2 linked regions of the Mus musculus genome follow. The protein of the gene in region 2 purifies or fractionates together with the protein of the main gene of each other region. This does not show direct contact. Links are inferred from orthologs where the notes say so. Each region holds a gene or a part of one and is shown on either strand. Other genes may lie near its edges.

The links.
Region 1: the proteins of Smurf2 (region 2) and Tgfbr2 purify together in Homo sapiens (affinity purification with western blotting; 3 studies listed by BioGRID). This does not show direct contact. The link is inferred for Mus musculus from reciprocal best matches to the Homo sapiens genes SMURF2 and TGFBR2.

What each region holds. Positions count from the first base shown.
Region 1 is NC_000075.6:116,126,802-116,130,368, reverse strand, and holds part of Tgfbr2 (TGF-beta receptor type-2 isoform 1 precursor), read left to right. Parts: intron 1-362; coding exon 363-553; intron 554-3,567. UniProt on the Homo sapiens protein: Transmembrane serine/threonine kinase forming with the TGF-beta type I serine/threonine kinase receptor, TGFBR1, the non-promiscuous receptor for the TGF-beta cytokines TGFB1, TGFB2 and TGFB3.
Region 2 is NC_000077.6:106,844,189-106,847,755, forward strand, and holds part of Smurf2 (E3 ubiquitin-protein ligase SMURF2), read right to left. Parts: intron 1,954-3,567; coding exon 1,795-1,953; intron 1-1,794. UniProt on the Homo sapiens protein: E3 ubiquitin-protein ligase which accepts ubiquitin from an E2 ubiquitin-conjugating enzyme in the form of a thioester and then directly transfers the ubiquitin to targeted substrates.

The DNA of each region.
Region 1 (3,567 bases), on a different chromosome or scaffold from region 2:
TCTCAATAACCAAGGGGGGCATCCCCTGCAGAATAGCACTGGATGTTGATCTCTGGCCTCCACATGCATGTGGGCACAGGTACACATCTCTGCACACATACATGTATACCAAAGATAAAAAGAAAGAGATCTACCACCATGTCTACAAGGATAGCTATCTTGTCTGTAATCATAATCAGGCTCTGAGGTGAGCAGAAGGTGGAGAGAGATAAACGAAGCCGGTGCAGGAGAGTTTGGGACACTCAAGTGGAAACCACTTCCTAAGGAATGCACAGACTCAACTGCTCTATCCAGAGACTGGTCATTCATCGTCCCCTCTTTCTGTCCCTCTCTCTTGTCTTCAACAAACCTCTGTGCCCCAGGAGGAAGAACGACAAGAACATTACTCTGGAGACGGTTTGCCACGACCCCAAGCTCACCTACCACGGCTTCACTCTGGAAGATGCCGCTTCTCCCAAGTGTGTCATGAAGGAAAAGAAAAGGGCGGGCGAGACTTTCTTCATGTGTGCCTGTAACATGGAAGAGTGCAACGATTACATCATCTTTTCGGAAGGTGAGTAGTTATCCCGGGTAACAGTCCTCCAGGGGAGCACTGCTGTGTGGAGCACGGAGAGGACAGAGGAACTCAAGAAGCAGTGGGCTCCATGCTTGCCCTTCTCAGATTTGATTCCCATCTTGGTACCTGGCCCTGACAAGCAATTTCTGTCCTCCAGAGCGATGGTTCTTTTCCCAAGCTCATTCTCAGGGCATCTGCAGCAGCTGGGGATTGTTAGCAGTGGAGATTATTAGTATTATTTAAAATTTATTTTCTCTCTGTGTGTGTGCATGGATTTGTGGCTGTGTGCATAGTATATGTGCACATTTGTGCTCATGTGTATGACGTCCAGAAGCCAACTTTGGAAGCCACTCCTTAGCAGCCATCCACCTTGCTTTTTGAAGCAGGATCTTTTACTATGGCAAGATTAGTTTGGGCTGGCTGGCCTAAGATACCACTCTATACAGAATTATGGATAAGTAATAAATGCACACATGTTACTGAGATACTTTTAGTTAATTAATTACCCTGTATGTTCATTTATTTTCCTTGAGGCATTCACTGTGCTACTCATTAGCCTGTGATTCACTAAGCACAGCCCAGGTTGGCCTCAAATTTGGAATCTCCTGAGTGCTGGGACTGCAGGCCTGAATATTCTTTGACGTTCCTTTCCTTCATCTATTATTTCCTTGAAATGAAACAGCCTTTGAAAAGCGCAGTTGCTGGAGCCTAAGGAATGTGCACAATGGACCAACAGCTCCATGGTCTGGAGACCCGCCTCTCTCTGACTCCCAGTAGCTTCCCTCATGCCCTTTGGCAAAGAGTTCCTACTGGGACTCATATTCTTGCTGTTTTACATCTGTTTTTTGTTTTTAGTTTTTGTTTTTTTGTTTCCTGCCTGTGTTTTGTGACTTCCAATTAAAACCAATAGCCATGACCTTGACACAAATCCTTTAAAGTATGGATGTTGGGTGCCCTCAGTGTTTGAAGGCATGATGTTACTATTCCAGATGCCCCAACCTCTAGATGTATGTATGTATGTGTGTATATATGTATGTATGTGTGTATAGACAATCTATGGGCAGTCAGACAGACAGACAGAGATTGGCAGGTCTTTTTTTTTTTTTAACCTATCTACCTGCTACATGCCAGTCCCTTCAGAAGAAGGGACAGATTACAGAGAGACCTTGTCATCTAGTCAGAAAGCCATCCAGGTATCCCCAGCCTGAAGCCTGCAGGCTACATGTGCACCAGGATAGCTATGAATAGAGACCAAAGCAATATCATAAACATCCTTAAAACTCTGTAGGATGTGTTTTGTGATTTGTTTATGTTTTACTTTGGGCGTGACTGATTGCATGGTTCTCCAGCATGAACTTTGTAGATCACACTGTCAAAAGGCTGGGCATGTCTGGAAATGTTAAAAAAAAATGGGCCTTTGCTTTCTCTGGCATCTCCTACCAGCCTCCCGTGGCAGCAGGCTTTGTGTGATGTCTGGTGGCTTCAGTGCATCTTGCATTGGCCAAGGAGAAAGAAGAGGAGAAAGCAGCAGAAACAGAGGGAACACTAGCCAGAAACTGCCCGCTCTTCAGAGCTGTCCCCAACACAGCTCCCTAGAACTGTCCCCAACACAGCTCCCTTGCCTTCTCTGGAGAACGCTTTAACTGGGGGGACCTGAGAACCTACCCAATACTCATCTAAATTCAGAATGCAAATTAGTAGAGGGGGTGTCATGATGGCCATCTGACAGCCATCCGTCAGCAAGACTTGATAGGTGCCAGAACAGAAGTTTAGTCTAGCTGGGCGTGGTGGCGCACACCTTTAATCCCAGTACGTGGGAGGCAGAGGCAGGTGAATTTCTGAGTTCGAGGCCAGCCTGGTTTACAGATTGAGTTCCAGGACAGCCAAGGCTACACAGAGAAACCCTGTCTCAAGAAATCAAAAACAACAACAACAACAACAACAAAAAGTGTAGTCTAAGATGTAGCAGGGCAAGTGTTATCAGGAGTGGCTGTCTTATAACCGCAAGATGGCACGCTAATTTTGCAAGACATTTATGTTTCGTTTTTGGTGTTTTATATGTGTACATGTGGTGTCTGTGTGTGTGTGTATGCACATCTGCATACAAGTGTGCACGTTCATGTGGACGTTGATACTGGTTCTCTTTTTCTATCACTTTCAACCTTGTATGTTGAGCCAGACTCCCCCTGAACTCAGAACTCACCATTGGGCTTGGGTGGTTAGCCATCTTTGCCCTGGGGATTCCTGTCTCTGCTTCTGGAGAGCTGGGATTATGAGAGGGTTGCCACACTAGCTGGCTTTATGTGGGTTTTGGGGATCCAAACCCTGTTCCCCGTGCTTTGAATGCAGCAAGCACTTTACCTGGTGTGAAGTCTCTCCATACCTTTTGCAAGTCACCTGCTGATCTCTGCCTTCACTGCTAGGACTCAAAGGCGCTCACTGACCTGCTTGTTTCTTGGTTGGGTTCATTAGTTCCTTTCTTGCCCCATCCCTCTCTTCATTCTTTCCTTCCTTCCTATGTAGATAAAGTCTTATGCATCCCAGGCTGGTTTTGAGTTCATTATCTAACTGAGGATGATCTTGAACTCCTGACCCCCTTGCTCTACCACCCAAGTCTCAGGGTTATTTACGCTGGGCACCAAGCCTACTCAGCTTCTATAAGTGTATTAGCGATCTGAACTCTGGTCTTTATGCTGTGTGGCAAACACTTCATCTACTAAGCCACCTTCCCAGCCACACATTGTTTTTGAGACAGGGTCTCTTGATGATTCAGAACTCAGCAAGGAGGTTACATTGGACATTGAGCTCCAGGGATCCTTCAGTCTCCACTTCCCGGATGTTAGAGTAAGTGGCTTCAGGTCCGTTCTGGCATCTGGGTTCAACAGCTGAGTTCCAGCCAGGCCCTTTGAACACAGCATCCAGTAGCCTGGGTACCACACCACAGGCACACTGGAAAGGCTTGCTCTGTTTTAATCTGTGTCTCTTCCAGTGCCTCTTTTCTCCCCACATAC
Region 2 (3,567 bases):
CCCAGCACTCGGGAGGCAGAGACAGGTGGATTTCTGAGTTCGAGGCCAGCCTGGTCTACAGAGTGAGTTCCAGGACAGCCAGGGCTACACAGAAAAACCCTGTCTCGAAAAACCAAAAAACCAAAAAAAAAAAAAAAAGAAGACGAACCAAGTGTTAGGCCCATGACTTTACTGGGGTATCCCATAAGGAAATCAAGGCCAGGGAGGGTGAACAGATGGGTAAATAAAGTCAGTACTAACAAGGGTTTACCAGTGCTCATAGAGTTAGTAAAAGATTGATCTGAACTTACTACCCACGAAAAATAAAAATATTTTAATACATTCATTTATTTATTTAGGGCACAGCTATACCATCATGTTCACAGGGGCTACACAGAGAAACCCTGTCTCGAAAAACAAACAAACAAACAAACAAGGTCTATTAACATAATGACTCTGACAAGGTAATCATAAATATTAAAAGTGCTAGACATAGTGGCGCACGCCTTTGATCCCAGGACTAGGGAGACAGAGAATGGTGGACCTCTGAGTTCAAAGTCAGCCTGGTCTACGTGGTGAGTTCTAGAATGGCCAGATCAAGAAGAGCCTGTTGGGGGAGGGTGGTGGAAAGAGACAACCTCCCCACCCCCAATTTTTTTCAAAGCAGCAACAAAGACACATATTAAATGGGTTCTTTTGTATTATTCTAAACAAGTAGTAGCCAGTTCTCATTTAATTTATCCTATTGAATCTACCCCTAAAAAAATTAATGAAGCAAGAATATTTCCCAAAATCATCCCTGACCTCTATTAGTTTTATTCTATTCTAACATTTAGCACAATATTTATTGCACACATTAATGAATGAAGAAAGCAGAGCAGGTAGTATTTATTTAGAGATTCTAAATTGAGTTACTCTGTGGATACAACTTTGTTCTCAGGATTCAAAGAAGCCACGGTCTGTTGTTCTACCACTACCCAAGTATCTTTCCCAAAACTGGTGACAAAGACACACTGCTGCTTTCCTGATGATGACGCTCCCTTTCCTCCCTTGTTTCCTCAGAAGACAATGCCAGTAAGTAATGAGGTTGGGAGAAAATGGGCAACTAGAGAGAAATCAAAGTAAAAGATGCAAATGTGGTACAAAAACCATGCAGTACAGACATGATCAGAAACCAAAGCACTGATAGGTCTGAATCTAGGAGCACTTCAAGTTGGGAAAATTATAGAGAGTCAACCTCTGCTTGTTCCCTCATCTGGAGAAATATTTACCAGGAAGAAACTTAATACATGCAAGAACAACACTTTACACACAGAAAGTGCTACTGAGATTTCTGTCAGTCACTGTTATCAGCTGTATGAAATAGGATGGCAACACAGAAGTAGCCTGCTCAGTCTCAGCTTCTGGTCAAGCTACAGCCTCTGTAAACAGCCTTCTTGCCTGAGCACTTCTCATGCATACTTCTTCTAACATTTCAGTACTGGTTCCTGTTTGAGCACAGTGAAAGTAAGATATGCACTACGTCAGAATAAAATATCCCATTTTCTTTCATATACTCTGATCAGTAAAAGTAAATTATAGCTAGGCATGGTAGCTCATGTCTACAATCCAAACACTGAAGAAGCAGTGGCAGGAAGAACTGTCAGGCCACACCAGTAATTCAAAGCCAACCTGGACTATCCCCTTGAGAACTCATCATAAATATAAATCAATATTGTAAATTTAAGAGATTGCATATTCTTTCACATTATAAAAAGCACATATATATCCTCTTGTTTAGAACAATATTTTCACATGTACTGCTTCAAAACTTACTTTAAAACTAAATGCAAGTTAGCAGAGAGCCGGGGATCTGTAAATTGTGTTGTTCTGTTGTTATGGTCAACGAAATAAACTCTTCCTGTTGCGGTATTGCGGATCTCCCATCCAGGAGGCAAAGGACCGAGCTCTTCACAATTGATGTTGCTAAGATCCCTGCAAAACAAATATACAACAGAAATACCTCATTACTGGGCTTGCTGAGCCAAGCAGCGTATGTGACACAGAGCAATTCCATGAAGTCTGAGAGAATGTATTGTTTCAGAAACTTGAGATGCTCAGCTGGAATCTTTAATTCCCAACGGTTTCACAAACTTGCACATTCAACACCCAATTCCTAAATGGATCAAAACTTATCACACAGTCTGGCAATCATACTACTTGCCAACATAAACTACACTTCAATATTTGTTTGACAGAAAGTATTGTTTTACAAGCGTCAACCATATAAAAAATTTCTATTCAATATTTTCTTTCTTTATTATATCATAAAGTTGGGTGTAAACAAATGTGCATGCAATGAGTGATTGTACTGTTCTTCAACAAGCAAAACTGGAAACATTACTAAAATCCTGATCCTGGAAATAATCATAACATTTCTTTTTTAACAAAATATGTTGTTTTAAAGTTTTGAAGTCTATAAATTTCATGAAGAAAAACCTGGTAAGGATACTTAAGAAGAATGTTTTAAGGTTTATTGTAGCAACAAAGAAAAGATCAAGTACTTTTAGCAGACAAGGACCACTGTATCACACACCATAAGGATATATAGGACCACACAGAACGCAGCTGAATGCTCTGAGGTGGCTGGTGGGGTTGGGGTGCCTAGAAGCATAGAAGATCTTGGCCCTCCCTAACCTTGTTCTATGTGTACTGCTCCCTTCCGGCTGTTTATGAACCAGCAACAGCAGTGTAGATTTTCATCCTGTCCTGCTAGAGCAAAACTTCTACAGAAGGAGACCATCCCAGAGTGTCCAAGTTACTGGAGGCTGCAGGCGAAGATGAACAGTGTCCACTGAGGCATTACCAGCTCTTAGAGATTTCTTCAAATAATGATTCTGATTTCTGCTTAAAATGATCCTGGCCACTCCTTTGCTGCAGAACAACTAAAGCTTGAGAACCACTACAGAAGAGGCAAAGCAAAGTTCTGAGAACCTTCAGTTCACAATAACAACGAAGAACTGACTTGGTTCTGTTCAACAGAGAACGGACTCCCCGATGGGGTGCGCTCAAGTGGGACTTGAGTGGCAGCTGGGAAGAGGGAGATCAGCACCAAGATTGGGGAAAAAGTCCTGGAACTTCTCAAGCCGAGAGCTCAAAAAGGTGAAGCAATTCTAGAAAAACTTTCCAAATTCCCATCATAGGACCAGAGAATGCCAACTAATAAGGATCAAGTAACACATGAGGCATGGTGGCATATAACATAATCCCAGCACTCAGAGGCTGAGGACATAGGTAGAGTGCAAGCTCAAGCCCAGCCTGGGCTACAGACCAAGATTGTGTCATCTAAAAAACAAAACACACACACACATATGCATGTACACACAGACACACACACACACACACACACACATGCATGTACACACACATACACACACACACACATGCATGTACACACACACACCTTTAAACCCAGCAGAAGCAGGTGAATTTCTGTGTGTTCTATATCAGCCAGAGCTACATAATGAACCTACCTCAAAATCAAACAACACAACACAACACAACACACCAAACTCAAGTAAGAACCTCACACAACCTAAGGTCAATGAA